3 linked regions of the Caenorhabditis elegans genome follow. The protein of the gene in region 3 purifies or fractionates together with the protein of the main gene of each other region. This does not show direct contact. Each region holds a gene or a part of one and is shown on either strand. Other genes may lie near its edges. The genes, in order: upp-1, pfn-1 and ZK1307.1.

The links.
Region 1: the proteins of ZK1307.1 (region 3) and upp-1 fractionate together in Caenorhabditis elegans (co-fractionation; one large-scale study listed by BioGRID). This does not show direct contact.
Region 2: the proteins of ZK1307.1 (region 3) and pfn-1 fractionate together in Caenorhabditis elegans (co-fractionation; one large-scale study listed by BioGRID). This does not show direct contact.

The regions. Positions count from the first base shown.
Region 1 is NC_003281.10:7,637,736-7,648,291, forward strand, and holds upp-1 (Uridine and thymidine phosphorylase), read right to left. Parts: upstream 5,367-10,556; 5' UTR 5,357-5,366; coding exon 5,219-5,356; intron 4,497-5,218; exon of another isoform or gene 4,413-4,496; intron 4,336-4,412; coding exon 4,192-4,335; intron 4,145-4,191; coding exon 3,629-4,144; intron 3,582-3,628; coding exon 3,492-3,581; 3' UTR 3,299-3,491; downstream 1-3,298. Other genes in the region: fbn-1 (EGF-like domain-containing protein), read left to right, coding at 65-492, 541-826, 879-1,175, 1,244-1,434, 1,485-1,541, 1,593-2,129, 2,567-2,821. UniProt on the Caenorhabditis elegans protein: Catalyzes the reversible phosphorylytic cleavage of uridine and thymidine to uracil and ribose-phosphate or thymine and deoxyribose-1-phosphate.
Region 2 is NC_003279.8:12,917,659-12,928,214, reverse strand, and holds pfn-1 (Profilin-1), read right to left. Parts: upstream 6,212-10,556; 5' UTR 6,176-6,211; coding exon 6,050-6,175; intron 5,206-6,049; coding exon 4,933-5,205; 3' UTR 4,667-4,932; downstream 1-4,666. Other genes in the region: fkb-2 (peptidylprolyl isomerase), read right to left, coding at 9,109-9,237, 9,291-9,488; fkb-8 (peptidylprolyl isomerase), read right to left, coding at 10,240-10,326, 10,379-10,556. UniProt on the Caenorhabditis elegans protein: Binds to actin and affects the structure of the cytoskeleton. At high concentrations, profilin prevents the polymerization of actin, whereas it enhances it at low concentrations. By binding to PIP2, it inhibits the formation of IP3 and DG.
Region 3 is NC_003280.10:9,650,780-9,661,324, forward strand, and holds ZK1307.1 (Amidinotransferase), read right to left. Parts: upstream 4,802-10,545; 5' UTR 4,753-4,801; coding exon 4,744-4,752; intron 4,640-4,743; coding exon 4,347-4,639; intron 4,290-4,346; coding exon 4,214-4,289; intron 4,161-4,213; coding exon 3,924-4,160; intron 3,877-3,923; coding exon 3,652-3,876; 3' UTR 3,566-3,651; downstream 1-3,565. Other genes in the region: ZK1307.9 (Coiled-coil domain-containing protein 130 homolog), read left to right, coding at 1-108; ZK1307.4 (motile sperm domain-containing protein), read right to left, coding at 252-398, 708-800, 851-958; ZK1307.3 (motile sperm domain-containing protein), read right to left, coding at 1,600-1,746, 1,792-1,884, 2,081-2,188; ZK1307.2 (uncharacterized protein), read right to left, coding at 2,386-2,450, 2,727-2,974, 3,022-3,092; gstk-1 (Glutathione S-transferase kappa 1), read left to right, coding at 5,970-6,038, 6,221-6,682, 6,734-6,883; ZK1320.2 (uncharacterized protein), read right to left, coding at 7,170-7,232, 7,278-7,355, 7,439-7,569, 7,618-7,719, 7,825-7,913, 8,056-8,219; ZK1320.3 (uncharacterized protein), read right to left, coding at 8,506-8,568, 8,665-8,742, 8,814-8,944, 8,990-9,091, 9,191-9,279, 9,473-9,636; cyp-13A10 (Putative cytochrome P450 CYP13A10), read right to left, coding at 10,136-10,376, 10,515-10,545.

The sequences.
Region 1 (10,556 bases), on a different chromosome or scaffold from region 3:
CAAGTTAAAAAAATATCCCAATTATTTTTTATTCAAAAAAACGTCTTTACCCTTACATTTTCAGCATCTCTTTGCTCCACAGTCACATGTCACTCATTGGCAACTTGCGAGCAATCTACTGGGGTTTGTATTTGCCGAGATGGTTTCATTGGAGACGGTACAACAGCTTGCTCTAAAAAGAGCACAGCTGATTGTATTTCTCTTCCGTCTCTCTGTGCTGACAAGGCAAAATGCGACAATTCAACAAGATCCTGTGAATGTGATGCTGGATACATTGGAGATGGATACGTGTGCTCACCGCATCCACAGGATTGTGTGCTTCGTGATAACTTGTGCTCGCCAGAAGCTGTCTGCCAGAATAGAAGATGCCAATGTCTTCCAGGATTTACTGGAGATGGAGTCAAGTGTGTTAGTATTCACGAAAGAGCAAGCAACTGTTCCCAATGTGATGCAAATGCTCATTGTGTTGGTGGAACTACCTGCAAGTGTAATGTAAGTTTTCTTTTGAAGTAGATTGATAGAAAACATAAATATTTTCAGCCAGGCTACTTTGGCAACGGTCTCTGCTGTGTACCTGATCCATTAGACTGCGTCCACTTCACTGGAATCTGTCACCCGAACGCAGTATGTAATTCGGAATCCCGTCAATGTCAGTGTTCTTCTGGCTTCTCTGGAAACGGAGTTTCATGTTTCCCACAGAAATCATGTAGAACTGACAAATCAGTGTGTGCGAAGAATGCTATTTGTCTTCCAACTGGAAGTTGTATCTGTCGTCATGGATTTAAGGGAGACCCATTCTATAAATGTTCTTCACTTGTTTCAAAGGGTTTGTTGGTTTTTCCAAATAATTCCAAAACGCATTAACCTTTTAATTTCAGAACCAGCTAACCAACAAGACCTTTCTGATGTGAGCTCGTGTGTCACACCATGCGACTCTTCCACTCAACTCTGCATCTCTGGAGAATGTATTTGTAAATCAGGATTCCGTCGGAACTCGACACTTTCCGGCTCGGAGACGTGTGCAGACATTGATGAATGTGCGGAGAAGTCTCATAAATGTGACCGAGTTGCTACATGTAGAAATACATTTGGATCCCATGTTTGCACATGTCCAGATGGGCACGTTGGAGATGGAATCACTTGTGTTCCACATGTCAATCAAGGAAAACTTTCGGGTCAGTATTGATACCAACTCGAACTTCTTTAAATTAATATCGCAGTTGGTTAATTATCAAATTTTCAGTATACTGTGAAGCTGATGGAATGACATTGGTACTTGGTAACGAGACAGCTGACTTTGAAGGGAAGATATTTGTGAAAGGACAAGCTGAGAATCCATATTGCTCGAAATCGTTCAGCTCATTGTTGAACTCTCGCAAGCCATATGTTTTCAAAGTCGTTTTCCAACATTGTGATGTACAACTTCTCGATAATGTAATTTATTTTGATCTTACTGAAAGCATTTTTCAATATTCATTTTCCAGCATACTATGGCGTCAACAGTGGTTGTACAAAAACATGCAATGTTCTTGACGAATAAGGTAACTTTTATTTATTCAATTGTGTATTTGTAAAAATGAAAAACATTTCAGGCCGACTCCTACGACCTCCGATGCCAATACCCAATTGGTTCCCGTGCTGTTGAATCTCATGTGAATGTTTCTGAACTTGCTACAACCTCCACACTCACAGAAAAGAATTCTACACTTGCTCCAATCTGCAGATTATCAGTTTCAAATGATCAACATTCATCAATCAGTTCAGCGATGGTCGGCGACACTTTGAAGCTTGCTTTGGAAGTTACGCCATCCGAAAACTTTGGCATTTTGCCAAGAAACTGTTTCGCAATCAATATTGAGAGTGGAGAGAGATATACATTGACAGATGACATGGGATGTGCTATTGATGAGTCATTGTTCCCACAATGGTCTGCTGCCACGTCATCAAAAGTGCAGGCAGTATTCAGAACATTCAAATGGCCGGACAGTTCAATGATCAGATTCCAATGTGACTGTAACCCTTGCGTTGGGCAATGTTCTACACCAACATGTATTTCATCAGCAAGATTTAGAAGGCATCAGACGACGTCACCTGTTGTGAACGACGAGATTCGTCAGGAAATGGTTTTGGTATGTTAAAGTAAAGCCAAAAATATTTGCATTGGTTATTCTAATGCCTAGATTCGATCATTAGTGATCGTACACATGTTTTCCAATTAGAATGCTTAAAGATCAACTGTTACCCAGATGCGGAATTTTGGCGCTTTTTGCATCAAAAATATTCTGTTCAAAAAGCGAGAAAGAGCGATAAAAGCTAGAACTTACAGTACTCCTAAAGGCGCACACTATTTTGCACTTTGAAAAATCGGACGCTTAAATCGGACCGAGTACTACAAAACCTAAAAACTTTGCATCCTGGCAATAAATACGCGTGATTTGGCAAAACAGATACTAATGCAGGCACGAGGCAGGCGTAGGTCGTAGTGTAAGCAGATATACATTTTTGCGGCAGTCTTACTAGATCTCATTGTCACTTCAAACATTTCTTCTAAAAACACATTTTCCAGATGTCCGGAGTTGAATCCCTAGCAGTTTCATCTATCATCAATGTCCATGATTCTCATGATATGAATACATCTGATGACGATGACGTCACATCATCCCATGTGGATGCCACGTCAAAGGAATCAAAATCGATTTGTGTGAAAATGGCTCCACTACTCATCGCATTGGGCTCATTTGCAGTTTGCTCAGCGATATTACTGTACTTGTGCTCTAAGAAACCAAAAACAATTGATCTGGAATCAGAACTGAGATTCTAGATTGATTGTTTCAAAATATTGTTTTGGTAATTCATATTTTCGTATTTTCTTATCACTGCACTGATAAGAAATCTTCAATCACTTGCTACATACTTGTTACATTCCAATATTTTTGTTATTTTATTTACCTACTTTTTTATTCTTTAAATCCCCCAAAACTTCTCTGAAATCTCCGACAACACTAACAAATTGCTCAGGGTTTTGATCGAAACCAAACAGAATTTTCTCTTTTGTTTTAAAATTTTATTTGATAATTTCTAATTTTCTAAACTTTTTATTTAATTATCGTATTTATCACATCTCTACAGCTTTTCTCTACCATTACGTGTGCCTCGTTTTCCAATTTTTCTCAATTTTCTTTTAATTTGTGCCTTTCCAAAAAACCCTTGTTTTTGCGTGTTTTTTTCTGTGATTTTTTTTCTGTAAAGTTCTTCAACATGTCTTCCATAAATTATCAAGATAATTTTTTTAAAGAAAGAAAATCAAAACCTTTATTTATTTACATAAACTTTCTTTCATATTTCGACTGAAATGAAACCAAACAGAATCACATTATTCTAGAAGAGAAGGGTTAGTTAGAGAGGGGTGCATTAGAGAAAATATATGAATACTATTCGTGTGGTAAGGAAACATGGAAAGCAATTAGTTGAGAATCTTGATTTTAAGATTATTAGATCCCGGTCTGCTTGCGAATGTAGGCAGTTACAAGGCGGAATGGACGTTCCTCGTATTCAATATATTGCTCTTTGGCGATTTGAACCTATAAATGTTATAATTGAAGACTGTCAATAAGAATCAAAATATTACCTGATCTCCATCCATACGATTCAAAAGAGTGACGCAGACAATAGCAGACTGGAATCCAGCGCGACACGTGAAGCTGGCGAAGCAAGTTGACTCCATCTCAATATTTCGTACTCCAAGAGCATTTAGCTTCCGCAAGAAAGCATACTTGTCTTCTTCTTCGTAATCGCAAAAGTATCCATCAAGACGCATCTGTCCCTCATAGAAATCGTCGGCGCACATGGTTTTTCCAGTTTCAACTGGAATGCTTTTCTCTTTTCCGACTTCGCAAAGAGCCTCGCGGAGTGCGGCATCGAGTTGAGTAGGCCGCTCAATTCTTTTTCCTGCGATGATTTGCACATAGGTATCTCCAAGCTCAGCATTCATGGCTTCAGTTGACACAACAACAGTTCCTGGTGGAACACCGACTCCTCCAGATGTTCCAAGACGAATGAAAGTTGGGTTCTTAACACCAGCATGGTGCATCAACTTGAAAGATTCGACGAGCATGATGCTCAAAGATGGGGTTCCCATTCCATGCTGTAAATTTATTTTTGTCAAATAATTGTCGCCTCAAAATAACATACGTTGATCCAGCAAACTGGTCCAGTTTTGTAAATCACGAAACGGTCAGACCGTGAGAGATTTTCAGAGCATGGAATATTGGCCTCTTTGGCAAACCATTCAGCATACAACTTGAAACGTCCTGGAGATCCTCCAGTGCAGACGAACTGAAATTAACTTAATGATAGTGCAAATTATTATTCACTAAAATGATTCAATTTCGGCACACAACACCTATAAAAACAAAAAAAATCTTCCGTTGCGGGGAATCGAACCCCGGCCTTATGAGTGAGAGCCATAAATCCTAACCACTAGACCACAACGGAGCGTGTTTGACACGTGCAGTAAAGACATAGACATTCCTATGACACGAAGGGCGCTTGTGTAACAATTGGCTAGAAGTATTACCCGCCCTAGGAGAGAGATAAACTTATCAGTGAGGAATATGTAGCTCTTGAAAATTCTAGATTCGTTTTGTGTTGGTATCGATTCAAATTATATTTACCCTCTATTGAAATTGGACACCAGGAGGCGCGTGGCTATGCAAATTTATAATTCAAAAAGAAGAAAACTCGCATGACAACTAACGGGTCAAAAAATTGAAGAAATAAAAGCGCCAAATGAATGAATATATTTTTGTGTTTGTTCTGTTGATCGATATGTATGAATAGAGAAAACTGTTGCATCATTCTACCTGGGAAGTGAAGACATAAATGGATTATTTCTCATATTTTTTGGAACATTATGAATCACCAGCCGTGGACCGCACCTACGGCGCGGCCCCCGACTTCTTTGAGAAAACACATTAGATATACGGTGTCTATCGCGGACCTCGATCGATGCCTGCTGCGCACTTAGCATAAGGTTTCCCAAAATTTCGTTGCTCTGATCAGAGATCAAACTACATAGGGACAGAAGGACACGCGCTTTATATATAGTAAACGATTTTTAAAGTGGAACATTTCTCGAAGATTAGGAGTGAACTAATATTAAAACTAATGAGGGAACTTTTTCACTTATTCAATTTTTTCTAGACTTTGTAGAACCAACCTTGGTATCTCCAAAAACTGCTGGAATATCGAGAGTGTCGACTCCAAAACCAAAGTGATAAAGAAAATCTCTTTTATCCTTGATATCGAAGTACTTGTTTGGCTTCTCCACATTTCCGTTCTTGACAAGTCCGTTCATCTTGATGGATCTGAAAAAATTCCAACTTATAGGAATGAAAAAAAAAACTTCATGAATAAAAGAGAGCAAAACAAAAACAGGAACCAGAATACGCGTGCTAAATGTCGTCAGTATCACATAGAATAAGAAAAGGGCACTCCAAAAGAGACGAGGAGAGAGCAGAGAGAGTAGACGGTTAGAGATGCTTAAAAAGGACTCAAATCCAATTTGGACAACTCGTGAGCTCCAGGCTACGTGATAAATAATAAAAACGAGAAAAACGAGATTCTACCTTTGCTACCAAGACTTTTAGTACACCTCAGAGAAAAATTGAAATTTAAAAGAAAAGTGAAACAATTATTTTTCAATCTGAAATAAGCAAAATCACTCTAATATATAAAGACGAAAAAGAACTCACAAATTTCCAAATGAAAATATTGAGAAAATGAAACTTTTATTCCGTAAAGCAAGTAACCTCGAAACTCCTCCCTTTTTATCTATCTTTTTTTTTGTTTTCGTCGAGAAAATGGGCGGAACGATTGGAAATAGATGGAAAGAAAAATTATTTTGCGGAAAAAAGAAAGCGTGGTGATGTAACAAACAGTTTCTGTGAAGAAGCTTCGACAAGTCAGAAAAATTGAGTAAAAGGACAAAGTTTTGAAATTTGAGTAAAAAAGTCAACAGGAACTGAACTTTCTGAGACAATAAAGACAAACAAAACGATGGTGACGCAGTTTAGAACAGTTTCCACGTGGAAAATCGAAAATCTCCGATTGTTTTCAACGAAGGATTTGCTTTTATTTGATTTAAACTTTTCGCACCAGCAGTTTGTTCAAGCACCACATGATATAAACTTTGGATATTAATAGTAATGAATTATCTTACTGAAAATATGAAGTTTTTAGACTTAAATGGAAGAAATTCGATGATTTCGAAGGAAAAAAATAAATTCGCGAGAGTTTGAAAACACCTGTCGTAAGATGTAGCGTAAGTGTGCAAACACCGACACGTCGACATGCAGACAGATAAAAACGCGCGAACTTTGAATATTACAATTTTGCGAGAATCTTTTTTGTTTCAATTATTATTTTAAAAGTTTGCGGTAAGAATACAGATAATAATAATCATGTCATTCTGATCTCCGCGTTCAATTGTTTCTTATCTGCACAAAAAGTTCTTTCTCCTGATAATGCTGATAATTCTTGCTGCCAACTTTGTTCATTTATAGTTTTATGGTGTTGATTGTTCAAAACTACGCTTTTAGTGTCCCCAGTGTTTCATCTATTTGTCATCGTAAATAAAAGGCTAGTTCCTGAACACATTGACAATAAATTTCAATCATGAAAGATGGCGAGATTATAACAATGATTCTGCGAAAGAGACAGCACGTGGCGCAAGAAGATGACGAAAAAAGACGGAAATGATAAAGTCAACGGGACACAGTTATGAGGGGTGATCTTATCAATTGTTATCATGATTTTTAAGTGACACTGAATATTTGGAAATTCGGTCTACAGTAGTCTCACAACGTCACAAAAATCGGTTGCCGAGTTGCCGAAAAAGGGCATGAGTTTCAAATGCGAAAGATTTTTCGTTTTTATGGGTACTGTAGTTTCCAACTCGTCATTTCTTTCAAAGCTGGCTTCTTCCAGTTTTTTGAAACCTGAACAAAAATTTATTGAGCATCGTTCTCAAATTTTCAAATTTTGACTGCCAACATATTATTGTTAGAATTCAAAAAGAAACGTTGATAATTTCAAAAGATTCAATTTTAAATTTGCAATCTCATCAAAATGCTAAAAATAAAGTTTTTGAAAATTAATTTTATATCCTTTTTTGCTGAAAACTAGTTGTTTTCTTCTAAATGTCCTTCTGGAAAAAAATTGAAGAAATTGCAAACAAACAGGACATGGGTTACTGTATTTCTTAGAGGTGCACATCATTTTGCGACGTCTTGATTTTAAATAGAGAATTCGGAAAATGAAATAATTACATTCGAATGCAACTCTACTGATAGAACTTAGTCGCCAATTTTGTCATGACTTACCCATAGATTATAGACCAGAAAGTTTCAAGGTGAGAAGATCAAATCAGGGCGAATTGAAAATATGAAGGGATCTGTATGTTTCTTTTTATTTTGCCGAAACCTTTTGGCATTGACGGAAAGAAAAAAAAAACATTTATCATTTAGTCCCACGGTTTATCGGACACACTATCTTTTATTCGGTCACACTTCACCCCTTGAATACCTCGCATATCATTTTGCCAGATCTTAGAATAACATGCCGGAAAGTTATTAATTACCGTGGTGTGCGGGGAAGGCATCGTCCCGTGAAGGAAATATAAAACAAATGTGGTGTTTGAATGAGACTTTGAGAGGAAAGTTACGAAAATCGTAAGAATCTGATAGTTTTGAAACTTCAAACTTCGAAAGTTTTTCGACCAGATTCTTGAATAAATATAAAAAAGAAAAGCTTCTTATGGATGTCGGAATGCCAATTCCCACGTGCGGCAAAACTTCAAACAACCCCAGTTTTCAGAGTACCCTAAATTGATCTGGAATTTTTAAGCATAAAAATTGGAAAAATCCACTTCAATTTTTAAATTATTTATCAAAAAATTCCACCGCTGACCCAAATCGACACTCAAATGATGTTTCATACATTGTTCGATTCATGATGGATGTGAACAATAACAAAAACATATTTCATCTTAACATTAGGAAGACCAGAAGACTGTGGCATTTGTATTCCAGGGATTTCTTCTGGGCTGTTCCATCGTTCCATTAGAAAGGATTATTTAAACATTCAGATCATTCTGTTCAATAACAAGAACTGAACTACCTTAACAAAAATAGAGAACACTGAAACTGAAATATTTGCTTACTATATCCAAAATCGTCTCGCTGCGAGACCTATTTGAATAGATCAGCGCGCCTTTAGGTACAACTCTCAAAAAATCGAAATTGCATTTTGAAGTTTTTCAAGCAAATGCCGAGATAGGCGGCAGGCAGGCACGCTTCTCTTAATCAAAGTCAACATTTTAAACCACAACAAGAAAAATCCAAGGATTTATTTATTGTATACAGTCTTCAGCATGATATAGCTAAGTGCTCAAAGGCATCACTTTTGTCGGGGAGCATGCTGGGGAGATCTCGGTGAGCTCATTAATGAATCGCTTGATGTCCTTGTTTACGGGAGCCTTCTTTCCGCCACGTTTGCGCTGAAAATTGAAATAGTTATAGTTTATCTCCAAAATAGTAACTTACCGAAATGTAGTCAAACACAATTGCATAGATACTAGCGTATTGAGCAAAAGATTCGACTCCTCCTGGACGCTGCTGTTTGATATTCTTCATGATCTCGCAAATCTGAAATAAAATTATTGTAAAGCATTCAACTAGGTTTTTAGTTACATTGGGCTCAATTCCATTATTGAGCTGGTTGATTGCGTAGAGAGCACCAATGAAGCTGCACGCACGGCCGCATCCGAACAAGCTGACCACGCAGACTCCAGCGTTTTGTACCTGCTTCTCCGAAAGAAATTGGTGAATCATTTTGATGATCGGAAGAGTTTTTGGTGGTTGCTGCAGATGCTTCCATGGAGCATGATGATGAACCTAAATTTGATTTTTCCTGTTCATGCTATGTTCTTGAGACCATACCTGGCATATGACAGAATCTGAATTTCCTTCGGGCAATACTTCAATCGTATATTCCTTTGGATCTCCAGAAACGTCGGCACGCCGATTGTTGATAAACATCTTTCCAGTGTACTGATAGCCACCATTCTCGTCGTTGAACAAAGAAGTCGTGGTGTTCTTCAGCTTGTCATCCGGGACCATCAAGTAGACAAGATGTATCTGTTCCTGGTAGATCATGTACCAAAAGTCTTCCACGAAACTTTCGTTTTCCATCTGGGGAAGTTGGGCGACGATTAGCTTGTGCTCGAACTGGAAAATGACAAAATGTAGGACAACAAGATGCACCGTAGGCAGGCACGCAAGCCATCCTTCTACTTACATCTTTCAAGGTGATGACACTGGCGTTGATGTAGTTGACATCCTCGTGTCCTGGACGATTCAGTTGAACCCGATTTTCATCGTAGATCTTCGGACACTGAAATTTTTTATATTCAGGAAAACCTTGTTTCCAATCAGCTTACCCCTTCACGATTTCGAACTTTGTTTGCTTCAAAAGCTTCAGTGGTCTTGTTGCAAGCGAGTCGAGGAACCCAAATTCTTCTCGAATCTTTTGGATGTCTGAAATCAAAGTTTATAGATGATCGGTAGACTCCTCCAATAGCTCTTACCATTTTTCTTGTTGCAGAAGTTGAGCGCAGAAGGCATTCCCAGCCACATCTTTGTTTTCTGCTTCGAGTGCTTCATATTTTCAGTATTCTTTTCCGATCGGGAGTCCTTCTTCTCTTCTTTCTTTTCCTCTTTCATCCCTTTCTCTTTCAGCTCTTCCTTTTTGATCTCAGACATTATTGTGTCTGGCGTCTGTGCAGGTGCGTCCTCCTCCGTGTCCACTGTACTCAAAAATGAGCTTTTCGTCTTCCGAACTGACTCCCGAGAAATACTTTTGTTAGTTGGTGCATTGCACTCTTTCTGAAATTATGAAACAATTATCATGAATCCACTGGAGAGCCGAAAGCCTACCGAAATTGAGTTCTTGATTCCTGTGGTGGACTTTTTACGATTCCTGAAAGCTGTCTTGACTCTGGAAGCTTTCGAGGGACCTTCTGCGCCGCTGAAACATCATTTTTTGCAACCATACAAATTCCGAAAACACCTCATTTTGCTATTTTTCTAGCGTACTTCTCTACCTTTCTAGTTTTGAAAATTAGATCAGCGCTAGAAAATTAAATAATTGTTTAAAAAACTCACTCAACAGTCTTCGTCCCTTTCTTCTGATCATTGCTAGCGTCAGTACTTTTGCTCCTCCGCCGAAGTGTCCTCTTCACTTTTTGAATCACTGACTTCTTCTCCTTCTTTTCCATCCTTTGTTACTTTCTTCTCAAATCAAAATTGACTTTGTAATCCAAACTTCTTTGAGATTCTTTACGTATCCCAATAAAAGTGGGAGATTGAGAAATAACAAACTTTGGAAAAGTTGTGTGATGGAATCGACGTGGAACGTAGGCGTGGAGGGAGGAGAAAAACAAGTCGGAGATCGTTGGAAAAGGTCACGTCAATTTTATTGAAATAAATTTTGGGACT
Region 2 (10,556 bases), on a different chromosome or scaffold from region 3:
ATTCACGCTGTCACTCTTCAGTAGATAATCCAGATTGAACCAGTTTGAGTAGTTTATAATCAAACTTCTTGATCAAAAGTGATATCACATTGAAATCCCGCTTTTGCTATCATGTAAGATTCGAAACAATTCGTAATTTTTAGATTCTCATTCCACATCGCTGAAAAGTCCTCAGTTGACACTTCTGTCTCGCCAAAAGTTACAGTTTGAATAGTGTCCTGTTTGGTTAGCAACCAATCAGCTATTGATTGATTCTGGTGTGTAAAGGTATTGATATCAGTTCCAAGTGACGTTACTGGCATGTTGAATAGATCAGTAACTAAGTTGAAAATACGACTTTATGGAAAAGTGGCTCTAGGGCCACCAGAAATACCAGTTTATGGAAAAGTGGCTCTACTCGGTAAAACGTTGCAACTTCATAGCACACTTTTGCAACTTCTTAGCCATCTTTTCATGTTTTAACTTCTTAACAAACCCCTGCATCTTCTCATAAGACTGTTGCAACTTCTTCGCAAAGATACAATTAAATTTCTTCTGGCGACGCACACGCTGCTATTCAGACAGCTCCTGCAAAGTTCTGCAGATTCCTGCAGACTTTAAACACGCGAGCACGCGCCGAAGAATGCGTTGCGGCTAGGGTTGTACTATCAAAATTTATGAATCGATCCTTCGATTTTGCAAAAATCTTTGCCGCACAGAAAGTTGGGCGGAGCGTCCTTTCGCAACACTGCCGCGCGGAGTTTGCCCCGGGCCTTTTCCGCTGCTTTTCTTGTTGATTTTTTCAATAAAGTTTCGATTTTTTTTTTTGAAATTGGATAACATTTTCATTCAAAAAAAAGAAAGATCGAAGCTTTATTGAAAAAATCAACAAGAAAAGCAGCGGAAAAGGCCCGGGGGCAAACTCCGCGCGGCAGTGTTGCGAAAGGACGCTCCGCCCAACTTTCTGTGCGGCAAAGATTTTTGCAAAATCGAAGGATCGATTCATAAATTTTGATAGTATGGCTGAGTCTGAAAATTCACAGTTTTATTGAGCTAACTGTCTAATATTAATTACCTCTAAGGATACAAAGTTTTTGCTTTCACAAAGAAATGAAAAAGTTTCGAACAAATTTTTTTTGTTATCATAGTTCGGAGTTTCAAATAACCTGGAAGTTGACTATGGCTGATATTGTTGGGCTTTTCATTACTAACAGATTTCTATACAACCGCAAAAGAAAATATCCAAGAGAAAAAACTGGAAAAAAACGAAAAAACTTATTGAACGACCTAATAGATATATCTATTAGGTCGTTCAATATGTGAAATCAACCGATTTCTGTAGATTTTGCATCAAAAATCGTAATTTTCAAGCTATAAATGCCTGGTTTTGAGTGATTTTATGCTCTTTCTTCATATTATAATTTCTCATTACCCTTCCAGCCATCTGAAATCTTTCATTTTTTCAGTATAATCTCCGCTTCAACCTCTTCCAAAACACAAAAATGTCCGGATGGAATGCCTACATCGACACAATGACTGCCGCTGCTCCATCGATCAAACGGTGTGCAATCGTCGGAGCCGTGTGATGTGCGGAAAGGTCCTGGAAATATTATTTGCCAGGAAATGTACTTAAAATGAACCAACTGCAGTATTACTCACACACGAAATTTGGCAATTTTTGCGTAAAACACGGTCTCGACACGACAAGAATGTTTTGATTTCGAAGAGTTGTGCGCCTTTAAATAGTACTGTAATTTCAAATTCTTCATGGTGCATTGATGTTATTTTTCTCAGAACACCTATTATACAAAAAAAAATCGATGAAAGCAACGAAAATTTAAAATTACAGTACACTTTAAAGGCGCACGTTTTACTCGTTTTCAACGAAATTTGTCGTGTCGAGACCGGGCTACCGTATTTTCGCCAAAAAAAATCACGTCGAGTCTGGGTAATACAATTTTTGGCCAAATGGCGCAGTGAAGAAATTCACGACTGAGAATATACACACCGGGGTTCGAGTCCGCACTGTGGTCGAAATATTTTTGTTGCTTTTTTTACATGTTTATTTTTTGGATAATTCAAGGGTGCGGAACTCAAAAATCAGTGTATTAAAGCCGAGAAAAGTCTGAAAAATCTGAATTTCAGAACTTTATGAAAATCATAAAAGTACTTAATTCGACCTATTATCTAATTTTTCCAATTTTCAGGCATCAAATCCTGGAGCAAATCGGCGGTCTCTGAGCTTGCACTGAGGCTGACAATGTCTTCGAGGTACGGATCGGCTGAAAAATTCAATTTTTTAGAAAAAAAAACTCGATATAAATTAAAAGATCTGCCAAGTTGCACAGTTTTCGAGCTCTCAGCACAAAATTTCAAATTTTCCAAAAAAAAATTGCGATTTGGATTTTTTTTGCTGAAATATCCAGATTTTGAAAATTTTGTAATTCTCAAAAAAATTCCGGTTTTTTTCAAATTCTAAAAACACTGATAACTCCAAAATACTCCAAAATTTTTTTTTGGAAAATTTGAAATTTTGTGCTGAGAGCTCGAAAACTGTGCAACTTGGCAGATCTTTTAATTTATATCGAGTTTTTTTTTCTAAAAAATTGAATTTTTCAGCCGATCCGTACCTCGAAGACATTGTCAGCCTCAGTGCAAGCTCAGAGACCGCCGATTTGCTCCAGGATTTGATGCCTGAAAATTGGAAAAATTAGATAATAGGTCGAATTAAGTACTTTTATGATTTTCATAAAGTTCTGAAATTCAGATTTTTCAGACTTTTCTCGGCTTTAATACACTGATTTTTGAGTTCCGCACCCTTGAATTATCCAAAAAATAAACATGTAAAAAAAGCAACAAAAATATTTCGACCACAGTGCGGACTCGAACCCCGGTGTGTATATTCTCAGTCGTGAATTTCTTCACTGCGCCATTTGGCCAAAAATTGTATTACCCAGACTCGACGTGATTTTTTTTGGCGAAAATACGGTAGCCCGGTCTCGACACGACAAATTTCGTTGAAAACGAGTAAAACGTGCGCCTTTAAAGTGTACTGTAATTTTAAATTTTCGTTGCTTTCATCGATTTTTTTTTGTATAATAGGTGTTCTGAGAAAAATAACATCAATGCACCATGAAGAATTTGAAATTACAGTACTATTTAAAGGCGCACAACTCTTCGAAATCAAAACATTCTTGTCGTGTCGAGACCGTGTTTTACGCAAAAATTGCCAAATTTCGTGTGTGAGTAATACTGCAGTTGGTTCATTTTAAGTACATTTCCTGGCAAATAATATTTCCAGGACCTTTCCGCACATCACACGGCTCCGACGATTGCACACCGTTTGATCGATGGAGCAGCGGCAGTCATTGTGTCGATGTAGGCATTCCATCCGGACATTTTTGTGTTTTGGAAGAGGTTGAAGCGGAGATTATACTGAAAAAATGAAAGATTTCAGATGGCTGGAAGGGTAATGAGAAATTATAATATGAAGAAAGAGCATAAAATCACTCAAAACCAGGCATTTATAGCTTGAAAATTACGATTTTTGATGCAAAATCTACAGAAATCGGTTGATTATTTGATTAATTCTATTGAAAATTGCATAAATATTGATTTGAAACGGTTTTTGAAGTCATTTTCAGACTTTTCGATAGGGAAAGCATTTTCCAATTGTTTATATTACGGTAGCACTAAGTTCTGAAAATGCGTATCGCACAACATATTTGACGCGCAAAATATCTCGAAGCGAAAACTACAGTAACTCGTTGAATGACTACTGTAGCCCTTTGTGTCGATTTACGGGTTTGGTTATCGAAATTAATCACTTTTCGAATTGTGTCAGCGATATTCGTAAATATTATTTTCCGTTTTTGGGAGTTTCCTTATGAAAAGGAAACCAGCATTGAAAAATAATCCAATACGAAAATAGAGCCCGTAAATCGACATACAGTAGTCATTTAAAGAATTACTGTAGTTTTCGTTACGACATATCTTGTGCGCCAAATACGTAATATTTTAATTATGAATTTAAAAAAGTTGAATTATCATACTGGAATGAGCAGTTTTTTCGGTTTTTGATTTTTCTAAAAATGAAATTTTTCGGAAAATCGAAAATTTTCCCTAAAAACATTGAAAAATCGAAAAACGGCACCCTTTTCTGAGACGAAAATTTATGATTTTCCGATATATAGAAAAATTCCATATTTTCGAAAAGCTTAAACTTTCGGCCATTTTTTCTTACGTACTCTTATGGGTTTTCTCATAAAAAATAATACGAAGACGCCGAAAAATAAAAATTTCCGCCATATCTCACTCCCACGGGTCTCGCCACGCTGGCAACAGGTTACTGTAAACCGACAGGAGTTACAGTAACCGTGTTGTCTGCCTAGCGAGACCCATTCGCGTAAGATATTGTGGAAAATTTCATTTGACAAATGTGATTACTTTTTAATTGTTTTTCCCTCATTTTCTAGACATCTTTTTCCGAGTTTTTTTTCTCTAAACGATTTTTGCAAACGATGATAAAAATCTGTAAAATGATTCTGACCAAAAAACCGCGCCGCACAATTGCAGTGTGGGCGTGGTTTCGAAAAAAACACGCGATAATTGCTCCGAGCACAAAACTCTTCTCTCACTCTCTTTCTCCGTCGATGGGAGATGAAAATGAAATAATCGAGAAGGCATTGAATTGGCAATGAATTTACTAGAAAACAAAACGGGGGAATACAATACATTATGATAAAGCTGAAAGTGAAATAAAAACTGTTTCTGTGTTTGCTCTGGGAATGGGAGTTTTGAGGGAAAGATTACGCGGAAGAAAACCGAATTTCATCGTTGTACTCGTAGAAATCAAGGTTTGGGAGAAGGGAGAAGGGGGAAGTTTGCAAAAAAAAAATAGAGAAAAGCGGGAATAAATACGAATCGAACAACAATCGATAGAGAGAGAAGTATTTAGTATCCAGCATTGTTGAGATAGGTTTGCATACTCTCGACAGCCTTGCGAACTTGTGCAGCAACTTCATTTGGTCCCTCGTAGACAGCAATCAAGACTGCAGACTTGGTCTTCACAGCGAAGAATCCAGTGTTCTCCTTTTTTCCGAAGATGAGCGATTCTTCGGTACGTGGAACGACGTAATGAACTCCTTCGATATCGGCTCCTTTTGCTGGAACTTGAGTGACGTCATTGAATAGGGCAACGAAGGTTTTGAGCTCTTCTTCGGATGCCTGGAAATTGGAAAAAATTAGAGAAGTTTTTGGACAGGAAATATTTCTTGTTAAAAAATTTGCGCTTTGAAATTTCCAAAAATTCGAAATTTTAAATCCAGTAACCCTAAAGTTAGCCTTTTTCCCCAATTTTCGCATTTTTAGGCCTCAAAACACTGAAATTTCCAAAAAAATCGGCTTATTCTTGGCCGAGATACTGGAAAATCACAAATTTCAGTCTGTGAATTTACATTTTGCAGGAAAAAATCTTCGAATTTTAATTTTTTTTTTAACGCTTTTTAACTCTAAATTTTCATGAAATTGAAAAATCTGAAAAAAAAAAGTTTAGAAAATTCCAGAGTAGGCAGGCTTCAGGCGGCTGAAATACAAGTAGGCTCTAATGTAGGTATCAGGCAGGCCACCTCGAAGGTAGTCAGGCAGGTAACTTGCCTGACCTTCAAGGTAGCCTAAGCCTGTCTGCTGCCTACTTGGGTTTCGAAGAAGTATAAACTATATGAGAAACAGGGGCTGGTAGGCAGGCACGGCCGCCTGAAGCCTGCCTAATCTGGAATTTTTTAATTTTGTTCGAAAAATAATGAAAATTTTGCAATTTTTGAGTGGATTTGCTAATTATTCCTGTAAAATGTAAATTCAGCGGCTAAAAATTTCGATTTTCAATTCAAAAAGTGAATAATTTCGCGAGATTTTCAGTTTTTTGGGTCAAAATGCGAAAATTCCAACAAAAATCGACCCCGCTAGCTCTTTTCAATCTCAAAAATGGGTCAATTTAAGGATTTTTCAATCGTTTCCAGTTTTAATCGATTTTTTCTCGAGCTTCTTCGATGATTTTCGTCCATTTCCATACCTTGAACACATTGTCAGCCTCAGTACGAGCCCAGACAGATCCATCAGCGGCTCCGACGATTGCACACCGTTTGATTGATGGAGCAGCGGCAGTCATTGTGTCGATGTAGGCATTCCATCCGGACATTTTTGTGTTTTGGAGGAGGTTGAAGCGGAGATTATACTGAAAAAATAAACATAAATTATGATTGAGATGGTTGGAGGGGTAATGAGAAATGATAATATGAAGAAAGAGCACAAATTAGGAGAAAAAGAGCATAAAATCGCTTGAAAATTACGGTTTTTGTAAACAATCGATTATTTTTTGATTTACTGCGCAAAAAATGGAATTTTAATGCCGAAATACCCAAAAATTGATATTTCCGCAGATTTTTTGCTTATCTGTGGTGTAAGTTGGTGGCGAAGAACTTGCGAATGGATAAAATGACAAAAACCAACAAAATCTCACTAAATTCACAATTTTCTCGCCAATGTAGTGCAAAAATTGAGCTTCTTTCATGAATTTCTTGGAAATTTTCTGTGAATTGAGCCGATTTAAACCAAAATTGGCATTTTACCTAGAGTTGACCAATTTTCGATGATTTTCAGACCATTTTCAGGCCAAAAAGGCGGAATTGAAGCTCGAAAACACCGAAAACTACCAAAAACTACGAAAATAGTAAATATTTCGAGTTTCAGATGTAGAAAACTTGGAAAAATTCAGCTTTTGGAAGATCTCGCCTCGAGAAATTAGGACCAACTTAAGGGAGAATTCTTTTTAAAAAAGCAACGTTTTGAGGCGAATTTTCAACTACTAGAGGATTTGAACTATCTAGAGCAATCTGAGAATTTAATTTCACAAGAAAAATGGCATAAAATCGCCAGATGACCCAAAATTGAGAGAAATTAAAGAAAACTTCCAATTTCAAATTCCGAAAGATGAAAATTGCTACGAAAACTAGAGGACATCTTTGACCACCCGGAACACTCCATCTAATTGGCTGGGCAAATGGAGAAGCAGTGAATGACAGTGAGGAAAAGCAATAGAGAGAAGAAGAGAAAGAGAATGTTTGCATGCCATCTGGTGCTCTCCTTCTTCCCCTTTTCAACCCGAACAACGAGCTTGTGCTCCTGCTCCTGCCTGCTTGCTCCGCTGGTCAGTTATTCACCCATAAAGGACGAAAAGAGAGACAGAGACCGCCCATCAAATTGAATGTGTGTGTACTACTAAAAGAGGGTGAAATAACCCGCCTCAATCCATACTAATGTCAAATGCAGTTGCAATTTATATTGAACACACAGACCCAGAGACACAACCAAAGCCAATGATGAATCATTTTGAAGAGAACACAGCGAAGACGACGGAGGAGAAAGAGAACCAAAAGGCGATAGAAGACGAGTTGCGAAACAATTCAATTTGAACAAAGCTTTCTAGCTTTGAAAATTGCGAAATTGAGCGCTGAAAATGGATCTTAATGCCGAGAATGACCAGTGGATTGCGAAATTGGAATGGTGAGTCACATGGAACAGCAGGTCGCCAAAAATCGTCGAGGAAGCTTCAAGTTGTTATAATATTCGCAGTTTTTTCTGCCAAGGAGATCTGAAAGTCATTTAGAAGAAAAAAAATACATCAAAATGCTCAAAAATCATAAAAATATTCGAAATTTTGATGATCGAAGCCCCAAAAAAGTCACGAAATAGTCAAAAGAGCCGCGAAAAACAGAAATTTCGTAGCATTGGCCGGATTTTTCTATAAATATTGCAGAAAACCCGAAGATTTTGTCAGTAAATCGAACGAATAAACTCCAGAAAGCGGAAAATGGGGAAAATGGGGAAAATTTTACATTTTTCTACAAAACACTCACTGTGAGCTGAAATTTCATCAAAAAAAATAGGAAAATTGAGAGTTTTCTAGTCGAAATCTTACGCTATGTGATAATTTTTATAGCTTTTTTATTTTTCTCGATTCACGACGTTATCGGATGCCGAAAATTGATAAAAAACTCTTTCTGAATCACCTATTTCCGCTCCTTCCTTACAGTTTTAAAGCAAGAATGGAACGAACTGAACTTTCCGGAAGAAAATAGGGTGGAAATCAGGAAAATTAGCGAATATTTGCTAGAGAATGAGGAAAATATATTCTGGCAATAACCGAGACAAAACGCGGAAAAAACTGCTGGAAATATCAATTTTGGGAGAAAACGCGAGAATTTTGTGAAAAACCTGCGGAAAATCGGTAAAAACGTCACAAAACCGGCCAAAAAAGTGGAAAAATGAAGAAATTGTCATCCTCTTCGACCAGTTCTCGAAAAACACGACGAAAATTGGCGGGCAGATCAAAAAATTGAGGTCAAAAATCTTTTTTCGCGATCAGAAAATTTTGCGCGTCAAATGGAATGCATCGTACGCAACTCTGCGTACTTAGGCGACTACCGTACTCTTAGCTAAATTCTGCTCAATTTTCGCTGGCTTTTGCCAATTTCTAGTGGAAAAACGTCGGAAAAACTGAAAAATCAATTTTGGAGACAAAAAAGAGGAGATTTTTCAAGAAAAGATGTGTAAAAATGGCGAATTTCAATGATTTTTAAACCATCCCACTGGGCGGAGGAATCTGAAATGATAAAAATAACTATGAATCATCGAAGGGGAGGCGTCTTCCGCCTCTCGTCTTGTGTATTTCTAATGAACAGGAGGCCTGAATTGTTTCGAAAATGGAGAACAGATGGTCTTCTGAGAAAGACGGGCGCTACGCAAGGATCGCCCGCGCACACAATTACGAATGAATTGTGAGGCAAAAAAGTGAAAAAGAAAAGAATAAAAGAGTAAAATTGGCAAGGTAATCGGAGATTTCGACTTCAAGGACACACAAACGCCACGTCAACACGCACAGAGAAAAACCATTTTGTTTTTAAAGATTAAATAATTTATGCTACTTAGATAGGAAGAAATATTTAGTTTACAGAGAAAATTAAGGGGGGAAAAAGAAAGAAAACTTGGAATCATTAAAAAAAATTGATATCATTTATGGAGAGGTTGCACACGGCAGCTGCTAAAACGGAGCTGCAAACGGAGACGGGCAGCTTAGTTGACTCCGAGAAGCTCGACCTCGAAGACGAGAGTTGCGTTGGCTGGGATTTGTGGTGGAACTCCGCGTGGTCCATAGCCAAGATCGGCAGAGATGGTGAGCTTCGACTTCTCACCAACTGACATCTGAAAGAAAAGTTGATTTTTTATATTGAAATTGAGCTAATCGATGGACAAACCTGGGCGACTCCTTGGTCCCATCCCTTGATGACCTCTCCCTTTCCAATCTTGAACTTGAATGGAGTTCCGCGGTCGCGAGAAGAGTCGATCTTCTTTCCGTTCTCAAGGGTGAGCACGTAGTGGCAGGTGACGGTCTGACCGTTCTTTGGCTTGGTGACGTTGTCGCCCTCGACGAGAATCTGTCTGTCGACGCCCATTCTTGCTAAAAGAGGAAATATTAAGATTTATAACTCAGAAATAAAGAGAAAATGGCAAAGAAAAGGAAGAAATTGTTCAAGGGCGAGTTCAAGTTGTTTTTAGGCCAAAATAACAATTATTTTTCAAAAATCGATAATTCTGCCTCGAAAATAAGGTTGCTTTTCTGATTTTCAGTTGATTTACTGATTTTCTTGATAGAAAACTCCAGAAGAATGGCCTAAAACAGGAAAAAACCGGCAAAGTAAACAAAAATCTGATGACCAGAGTTTTAGCCGATTTTAGGCCAAAATAACACTGAATTTTCGAAGAACAACTATTTGTCATTGAAAAGTGGGCGTCTGACATGATTTTTTCGATAAGAAACTCTGAAAAATGACCAAAAATCGGTGAAAAACAAGCAAAAATGGGTTGTTTACGAGGCGAGAGTAAAATCGAACAAGGCGCGACACTGTTCGTGGCGAGATATCGCTGCCGCGAAATTGCATGCGCCTTTAAGGTAAGTGTCTGCGTCTCTTCAGAGAAATTTGTTCTTTCTCGGAAATCGTTGAAAATGAGTTCTCTCGATAGAAATAAATAAAAAAACAAGGAAATTAATAAAATTTCAAAGCATTTTAATTAAAAATTGAAATTTATGGCAATCGTGTCAACAACAAGTGAACAAAAATTAATACCATAGTTTTGATTTTAAACATTTTTCTCCTGGCTACGGTAGTTCATAAAGTACGCAGCATGTATCCAATTCGTTTTATTTTACGCTGGGATTCCTGCTGGCAATTTGCCTTTTTCAAAGCCAAAAGCCGGAGCAATCGTGAGCTTCGACTTCTCTTTGACTGACATCTGAAAGAAAATTGAATTTTTATATTGAAATTGAGCTAATCGATGTACAAACCTGGGCGACTCCTTGGTCCCATCCCTTGATGACCTCTCCCTTTCCAATCTTGAACTTGAATGGAGTTTCGCGGTCGCGAGAAGAGTCGATCTTCGTTCCGTCCACAAGGATGAGCACGTAGTGGCAGGTGACGGTCTGACCGTTCTTTGACTTGGTGACGTTGTCGCCCTGGACGAGA
Region 3 (10,545 bases):
AACTCAAGTCTCCAAGATGAAGAACCTGCAGTGGAGAAGCCAAACATTTCAAACCCAATCTCACTTATTGCTCAAGAATACGGAAACTCGTCAGACGATTCAGATTAATTATTTTATCGAACGTTTAGCTGTTTTTTCTCTGTGAGAATTATCTTACTAATAATAATAAACACCCAGAACAAAAATTCCAATCTTCATTTTTACATACAATGCTCAGTTTAAAAATATCTTGTTTTTCTTTGGTGTATTATTCATTCGGCAGCAGACAACTTGATGACTGTCTCTCCAGAAAGCTCTCCTGGTGGCACTCCATTTGCGAACAATGGTTTTGGATCCGTGTTCTCATCAACTACCATACAGTACTGGATGATCAACTTGTCGGCTTGTGGCTTTCCAGGCTGAAATTTCAATGAAAATTATTACATAGAAGTCCAAGAATGAGAATTTCCGCCATATCTTCCGCGCATGGGTCTCACCATGCTGACAAAGGGCTACTGTAACTCGTGTCATTTTATGGGTCGCGATTGTATCATACGTTGATTAAAAAAATTTGGAAGCACTATTTCATTCGATATGAAAGTTATAATGCAATAGTGGAGCAAAACGTTGCGAAGTACAGTAACTTATTGTCAGCGTGGTGAGACCCAAACTTTCATCTTTAAACGGCTTCGTAATAGATTGTGTTCCTAGATTTAGAAAATTTATACCTTTCTGGTGATGACCAATTCCTTGACATCGCAAACTTTCAAGATTCCATAGATTAAGTTGACGCTGTAGTTTGAGTTGTTTGAGGATTTTACCTGACATGGTATTTTCAATTGACCAGTTTTCCGGCAAATAAAGAACCAACCTTATAAGCCATATGGCGATCGGTATGATTGATCATCTTGTGCTTCGAAACTCCTCCATTGGCCTGGATTGGGCACACTGGTGGATCCAACGAAATTTCGACTCCCATTGCGGCTGCACTTGACTTGGTTTTAAATCAGAACAAATTCTAATCGATTGATTCGGACGTTCTGTTTTACACGTGTTAAGATTTTATCAGCTGATGTTTTTTTTTGAGAATATGGAAGGTCGCGTGGAAATTTGAAAAGTTGTGAAAACGAAAATTAAAGTGATTTTATTAATTTGTGAAGTAATGGCATTGAGGAACAAATAATAAAATTTTCAGAAAGTTAAGTAATATCTTAACCAAACTCGTTCTCGAGATAGTGTCTATCCGTTGGACCGACCCAATTTTTTTTTCAGAAACAGAAGAGTTTCTGCTTCTTATGTATTATAAAAACTACCTATCTATGTATACGACAACTATGTTAAATTTCATCTTACGATGGTCACCTTGAATCTTCTCGCGATCGAATAGAATCACGTAGGAAATTCAGGCGACCGGAAGAACCTGCAGTGGAGAAGCCAAAAAATTCAAGGCCAATCTCATTTTTTGATTAAGAATATTGAAGCTTTTCAGATTCAGATTACAATTCCCTCTGAGAATCAACACTAATGAAAAGAAAAATAAACCCAGAACAACAATTCCAATCTTCATTTTTACATACAATGCTCAGTTTAAAAATATCTTGTTTTTCTTTGGTGTCATATTCATTCGGCAGCAGACAACTTGATGACTGTCTCTCCAGAAAGCTCTCCTGGTGGCACTCCATTTGCGAACAATGGTTTTGGATCCGCGTTCTCATCTTCCACCATACAGTACTGGATGATCAACTTGTCGGCTTGTGGCTTTCCAGGCTGAAATGTTAATGAATTAGGTTCTTATGTTCAGAAATTCGATACCTTTCTGGTGATGACCAACTCCTTGACATCGCAAACTTTCAAGATTCCGTAGATCAAGTTGACGCTGTAGTTTGAGTTGTTCGAGGATTTGACCTGAAATAGTCTACTGTAAAATTGGCTATCATGGCTGTGCGGCAACCGGAAACTCTCGGTTGACGAAGCTTCGGCCCAAGTTGCCAAAGTTTTGAAAAAAAACTTATTGCCAGTTGCCAAAGTTTTGAAAAAAAACTTATTGCCAGTTGACGTACACCCCTGCTGTCTATATCCTCACGATAAGTAAAATACCAACCTTAAAGGCCAAAATTTTGTCGCAATGATTGATCATCTTGTGCTTCGAGACTCCTCCATTGGCCTGGATCGGGCAAACTGGTGGATCCAACGAAATTTCGACTCCCATTGCGGCTGCACTTGACTTGGTTCTGAACTGATTCAAGTTCTAATCGACTGATTCGAAATTTCGGGTTTACACGTGCCAAGATTTTATCAACTGATGTTTTTTGAGAAGGTCGCGTAGGAATTTTAGAAATTTTTCAAACAAAAAAATTGAATTAATTTTATTAATTTGAGAAAAAAACAGAAGTAAAAACAACAAATTTAACGTTTTCCAAACCAATTTTTCGAATGATCCGCGTATCCCCAGACTCCATCGTAATATGGTCCTGAAAATTCGAATATTTAGGTCTTGAGGTTTTTAAAAATAATCCAGATGAACAATGAGCTCGATAATTTATTTCGACTTTACAATTTAAGGCTTTCTGAAATTTTCAATACGCGCGCAAATGAGGAGATTTGGGTCTTGAGAAGAGTGAAAGTTTGCAGCTACTGTACCACAAATATATTATATATTAGCAGTGATGTTCAATACTTTTCTTGTAGAAATCGGGCAGACATATGAAGAAAAAAAAACATATTTTCAATATATTGTAAGTACTCACCGTATCTTTCCTGCTGTAAAGTTTCGAAATCCGTAGGCGCTGGCTGTCCGTATTTGTTCTTGTGGAATGAAATTTCGTGATAATAATTACGATAAGAAGCAAATGAATAAAGTGGAGGAAGTCCTGAATTATAGAACTTGTCTCTATAAAACCCATAACTATCAAATCCTCCATTTGTAGGTCCTATTCCGAATGGTCCATAGCCATAGTTGTTTGTGAAATCGTTCCGTTTAACTCGAACATTTTGACTGAAATTTCTTGAAATATAAAAGAAAAAACTAAACTAAACAATAACCTTTCAAAAACCTCTGCATCAGAATATCCAATAAGAAACAAAATTCCAGATAATAAAGTAATCTTCTTCATTTGTTGAAATACAGAATATAATATTTTTTCTAGAAATGAATACCACAACAAAATACCCAAAAGAGAGATGAGAAGAAAAGTGATCAGTTGTAACATTACAATTCTAGAATTTCTCAGTGCCACCCTTACCCTCCTACCGGTTCTAGTATCTTTCTCATGTGATTTTTGTGGTTATATTTTCCAATGAAGATCATACAAATTGAAAGCTGAAAAGGTTCAAAACTTATCTGAATTTAAAATTAACTTGAAATTTAACTCGGGAATCCGTACTTTAACGGTAAAGCAGTGAAGTGAGAGAAAAATCAGAATTTTTTTTTTTGAAAAATTTTACGTACAACACTGATTTCTCGATAGCTTCACAATGCTATATTATAATAGCATCTTTTTTACTTGACTCTTTTTGGCTTAAGCTCAACCAAACTCTCAATTTTTTAGACGGCTTTTTGAAAGCCAACACTCCAATTTGAAATATTCCAGTAAACGCTTTATTTATTCAAAACTTCATCAAAGATTCACTATAAAAATTCAAATATCCAGCCATCAATTCATCCTATCACAATTAGAGCAATCTGAGCACCAAGCACTGACAAGCTCCACCACTTTTCATAAATTCACTCATATCAACTTCTTCGACACGTTTTCCACGAGCCGACAGATAATCCTTGGTTGCTTGAGAGACACCGATTGGGGAGATTACGGTATCACGAATAGTGATGGCGTTGCACACGAAAGCATTTGCTTCAGCTTCGGAGACAGCAATCGAGTTTGGAAGACGACGGAGGATCTGCACACAAAAAGTTTTTTAACTAGGGATTTCAAAAAAAAACTCACCTCCTTATTGGTTGCCTCAGAGAATGCAGGTGGGTAGTAGAGGGCGCTGGTCTCATCAACTGGAGCAAAACAAGTGTCCAAGTGATAAAAGTTTGGAAGAATCATATCACAGAGAACAATATCAAAAGTCCCGAGTGCCTTGATTTTCTCGTAGACAGACTTTGAACTACGCTCTCCATAACCAGCCCAAAGAGTTTTACGGTCAGAAAATACAGCATCTCCTCCGCCTTCGAAGATCTGAAATTTTATGTTTCAAAATGGAGAACAAAAATTCTCTGGCAAATTTATACCTCTTCATATCCTTCCCCAATAGTTTTGATATTGTTCTTCTTGAACCATTCCAAGTAGAGTGGTTGCTCACCGCTTCTGTAAAAACATAAAATGTTTCACACACAATTTCCTTTATTCTTTTTTCAAACTCACCTTTCCTTATGCCTGAATCTGGACAAGTAAACCTGATCATCATAGACCAATCCACTATTACAAACGAAAACTTGATCTGGAAGACCCTCTGTTTGCTCCATTGTCAAAACTGGAACACCAGCGTTTTCGATTGCAGATTTCAAAGAATTCCATTGCTGATGAGCTTTTTGCTTGTCAACAACTCCTCCCATCCATGGATTGATTGTGTATTCGACTGTGAAATGCTTTGGTGGAACCATCAACACTCTCTTCAGAATATGGGCAGCAGATTTTGCAGCAGACATTGTTTCAGACTGAAAATTCAATTGTTTAATTAGTTTTCAAAATCATTTTAACTCAAAAAGTAAAACCAGTGTTTCTAATTTCCAAACTGACAATTAAATAGGTCCAAACTCACATCAGACATTATTATATAGCAGGTTCAATATCAAATAACTATTGTTAATAGTCTACTCGAAATTGAAATGATGCACCGAGCTAACTAGTATCTTATCAGTTTTTATATTGATACGATTTGTTATCAAATATTGGTATAAAGGTGTTAGCAGCTAGTCTGCAAAAAGTTCAAACTTTCAAAAATTATAACACCTGACAAAAAATTTAAATTTTCAAACAATTTTTAGTCGTAACTTTAGAAATTTAACAAATATTCAAGGAGGAAGTTGAATGTTAAACTAGATAGTTCAAAAAGTAGAACCAAAAACGCGCGAGAAAATAAAAATAAAAGAATAACAATGTACACCCGTGGTCATTTTATTATCCTCCCTCCTTCTTCCCCGAACCCTTGTAAATCTTTCAATATGTCTTGATGGCCTTATTACGTCACAATACATATTGTGATTGCAGATCTTGATTGATAAAAATTCCAAATGAATTATGATCACAGGAAAAATGTTTTCTCGGTGTCAGGTGCCAGGTGTCAGGTGCAGGTACTCAAAAGACACCGGCAAATGAATTCCAAAGGTTTGTGCTTTGAAAAGCTCCAAAGATCCTTGCTATGCAAAATATGTCAATGGAAAAAGAAAATAAACATTTTTAAAAGAAAGCTTTTATGAAAATTCCATGTAAAAAACGCGAATTGGGACTTTCCAGGTATCCAGAAAAGCTTTAATTTTTGAAAGGTTAAGAAATTGATATACGCGTTTTCCAAATATCCAAGGTATTCTTGTAGTTTCCCCAATGCATCATTCAAACCAAGAGAGCTAGACGCAGAGAAACCAGATTGTCTGTCATCTCTGCGTATCTTTTTCCCGATACAAGCTACAGTGTAGTCTCACGGTGTGGAACAAGTCACCACGTTGCTTTACTTCTCTAGAACTATTATTTTCCCACGTTATTTTTGCATCTATCTTCATTTCCCACTTTCTTATCACTGCAAACCGAACATAGATCACAGTTCGTTGTCTCGAAAACTTATAAAACCACACGGTTGTTTGTGCAATTTTTATTTAATTTTTTAAACGGGTTCTCAAAGAAAAATTGCAGAAAATATAACTTTGATCTACTTTATCGTTCCCGCGAATATTTTTCAAAACATCTTTTCCAAATCTACACTCAACTTACGGATTTTTGTCTTGCAGATTTCCGTTCGCCGTGCCCAAAAATTCGAATTAATTTTGGAAAATGCCAAAACTTCCACGTATCGACTTTTATTTTGACGTGATTTCTCCGTACAGTTATATTGCTTTTGAGGTTGGTTTTTTTTATATACGATATTACATAAAAAACTGTGGTTGTACGCATGTGTCGATGGTTCTCTTATCCTAGGAAGTCAGGAATTTTTTTTGAACAGTGTTACGGTACAATAATATTTTTTAGTTTTAAAATTCGTAAATTTATTATAGTTATAGAAATTATGCAATGATAAATTGCAGGTCTTCCAAAAACTGGAAACCCAATGGAAAGGAGTAACAATCCGTTACATTCCATTTTTCCTCGGAGCCGTCATGAAAGAATCAGGAAATCGTCCTCCAGCAATGCTCCCAGCTCGATCAATTATGATGATGACTGATTTGAAGCGAACTGCAAAGTTCTGGGATATTCCATTGACTCCACCACCATTGTTCATGGAATGGATCAAAAAGTACCGTACTACTGGAGCAATGAAGGTTTTGTTGGTTTTGCAGGAGCAGGATAAGGAGCTGATGCTCCGAGCAGCTCGGGAAATGTGGGTCAGATTGTGGTCTCGAAGTGAGAAGATTTTTGAGGATCAAGACTTTGTGGAAGTATTGAAGGCAGTTGGTGTTAAGAATCCGGAGCAAATTGTGGAAAAGAGCAAGGATGAGAAATATATAAAGATTTTGATGGAGAATACGAATAAGGGAGTTGATTTGATGGTAAGTTATTCATCTTTGAATTAAAAAAAATTGGCAATTTTACTTTTTCAGGCATATGGTGCTCCATGGATCAATGTGCACACAGAAGATGGATCGGAGCATTCATTCTTTGGATCAGACCGTTTCCATTTGATTGCCGACCTTCTTCAACAGCCACAACCGCTTCCAGACCGACTTTTTGGCCAGAAATCAAAACTTTAAATATTTGTTGTAAGATAAGATGCGCTAAATATATGAATAAATTGGGTAAATATTTTTAATTAACTCTCTCTGAAACAGTCTGACAATCGACATAATCATAGATTCAAAAACTACAAAGAAAAATTCCAAAAAGATTTGAATCTAAAATCTTTTAGTTGGCTGCACTCTAGGTTACTTTTCAATTTTACGAACTGTAAAATATTCCAGAAAATTAATTATATGTTCAAAGTTTTATTCAAATTACATCTGCACTGTTAGTTGTGGGAAAAACCCAAAAAATCACAAATCAGTTGGCCTTGATCAATCCGGCGAACACTTGATACAAACCCCAGGTTCCATCCGGCATTTGCTGAAAGTAGAAAAGCTTTATCTACTTTAGATAATAAAAGTGTACCTTTTGGGCAAACTTCTCGCAGTAGTTCATATCTTGCTTGACATTGTCGGTTCCAATGACGCTTGGTGGAACTCCCATCTTAAATGGATAGGGTTAAAGTTCGGATTTGAATTTTTGGATTTTATCAGCAGTGAGCCAATTCTGATTCTGATATGACTTACATCATAGATGACATAAGCCCATCCTGGCTTATTGATATAGAAGTTGAGAGCCTCTGACATGGTTTCGATGTCATTGTAAGTCTTAACAACCGTATCGATTGTTGCAGAAACAGTGTCGTCGATGCAGAAATCTGAAAACAAATGAATTTCAGGTTTACTCTAGAAAAAGAGGAGCTCACTGAAATCATCATCATCGCGCTTGGTTGGAGTGCCGCTGATCAGCTCAGCATGAACCTTGACTCCAGATTTACGGGTGTAGTGACGGCGAACATTGTAGGTTGCTGAAATATATGAAAATGAGTTAGATAAAGTTCCACATATTTTATTTCAATTATATTTTTCAAAACTAGGAAGTGGCTTTCAATATTTTTTGAACGCTAACTTACGAACTGCAGTTGACTGATTGGCAAATTGGAAACGTGCAGCAACCTTGACGGATTTGCGGTCAGCACAGTGAGTGATGCACCAATTTGGTCTGAAAAGTAGAAATGGATTTTTTCATCTGGATTTGAATAATTAAATTTAAAATTATTGATTAAAAGGATAAAACAATTCTAGATCAGACACTCTGACTTTACATGAATTCTTAATTTAATCTTGAAAAGGAATATACTAACCTCACAAAATCCAATCCAGAGGATCGGAAATCTTGAATTGGAACTGCATCCTGTGTGGATTCATCTCCAACTGGAGTATAATTGCACAAATTTCCTCCTGGAGCAGAAGTTTGTTGAGCAAAAATTGCTGGAACTGCTAAGCAGGCAAGGAGAAGAAGCTTCATTTTCCTAAAAACTCTCGATAAAAATGAAAAGGAAACTATACTCAAAAACGTTTCAAAGCGAGTAGCAAATGGTCAAATTATCGGAAGTTATCAGTTAAAAACTGAAATTTTCCACATCACCGGCCTCCTCTTTTGCCAGTTGAATGTGTTGATAACGGAAAATAAAGAGTGGAAAATTAAATATTGAAAAATCACTAATGATTTCATTTTGAGAATAATAAGAATCAAATATTCAATGTAAAACTTTAAATAGTTAAATCGTTTATTAAAAATTAAAAGAAAAAAATCAATTAGCCTTGATAAGTCCTGCGAATACTTGATATGTCATGTAGGTTCCATCCGGCATTTGCTGAAAAATTTGTAAAATTTGGTGAGGTCTAATTTCTAATTCGGATACTTGCAGGTCTGGTTTTGTTGCATTTTACAACATTTTCTGAGTACTTACCTTGTTAGAAGACTTCTCACAGTAGTTCATATCGTGTTTGACATTGTCAGTCTCAATGATGCTTGGTGGTACTCCCATCTGAATATATGTATTCAAGTAGAAATAGTAGACACCTATATATTTTCCAAAAAAAAACTTGTGTAACTTACATCGTAAATAATATACGCCCATCCTGGCTTGTTGATATAGAAGTTGAGGGCTTCTGACATGGTTTCGATGTCATTGTAGGTGTTGACAATAGTATCAATCTGGGCCGACACAGCATCGTCCATACAGAAGTCTGAAATTTTGACATGTATTTATACCATAAGATGAAATCACTTACTAAAAGGATCATCGTCACGCTTGGTCGGGTTTCCGCTGATCAGCTCAGCATGAACCTTCATTCCTGAATAACGGGTGAAAGTACGGCGAACTTTGTAGGTTGCTGAAAATTCCCATTAAATTCTAGGATGTTTACTGGTATTTTCATAATGTTCCAAATGTTTTTACATGTACTTTAGTGTACTGATCTATGTTAACTTACGGACTGCAGTTGACTGATTGGCAAATTGGAAGCGAACAGCAGCTTTGACAGATTTGCGGTCAGCACAGTGGGTGATGCACCAATTTGGTCTGAAACTTTTTAAATTAAGATATTCGGCTATTTATGTGGTTCAAAAATTGGTAATCGTTTAGTATCCCACTGTTGCCAAAGTATTTTTCTGGGTCTAACTAGTAAGACCATCAAGAGTTGGCTCAACATAACTTGGCCGCGGCCTAAACCAATCATTACTAAAGCTGTTCCAATTTTTGAACATAAACTGACCTAACGAAATCTAATCCAGACGTTCTGAAGTCCTGAATAGGAACAGCCTTTTGGTTTGATTCATCTCCTTGTGGAGGATAAGTACACAAATTTCCACCTGGAGCAGACGTCTGTTGAGCTAAGATTGCAGGAACTGCCAAACAAGCAATAAGAAGAAACTTCATTCTCCTGAAAATATAAATATATGCTTCAAAAAATTTAAGTAGCAAATGGTCAAATTAGTATGAATTGTGGAGAGAGTTATCAGTCTAAAACTGACGTTTTTTAAATTATGAGCGTTTTCTTTTGACATTCAGTTATAGTGATAAGAATATTAAATAGAAAAATGGGAAAGCACTAATGATATCACTGGAAAAGTTAAAGGACAAGTTGTTTACAGATAAGTTTATGAGCATTGATTCCGGGGAGCCAGCAGCTTAACAAAACTGATTTCTTGATCCAATATTGCTCACAATCAGATGATTCAAAAGTTTATGCGAGTAAAATTAGTAGAAATACCAAATTAGTCTGATATGTTTTTCAAAATTGTTCTTCAATTAAAGGATAGACGAGTTTCTCAGAAAATAGGCTGAACATTTTCAGACTCTAAAAAGCAAGAAAGTTTTATTTGAAAGCTTTTTCGATGACTAAAATACAAACAAAGAGGGTCGAAAATTATTGAGTTCATATCCTTTGCTTCAAATGCATCCAAACAGTTTCCGGTTGAGTCGTGGCTCTTCCAACTAATTTCAATGGGATTTCTGTCTTGGTGCCAACTTCAAATGTATATTTTCTAAGAATATGAGCCAAGAGCATCTTTTCCTCCATATAAGCCAATCGCATTCCAACGCACTGACGAGGTCCTAATCCGAATGAAATATATCCTCCTTTTTGGAAAACTTGGTCACAGTTGGGGTCAAGCCATCTGAAATAATAACTAGTAGGATCTCTTACTAAATAATTTAAAAGGTGGAATACTCTCCAAAGTGATTCGCTTTTTAAAACTTTCAAAAATTAAGCCAATAATACATCTGAATATATTTTTTAATTTTGAAAAAAAAACCTTTCTGGCTTGAACTCCTTCGCATCATCTC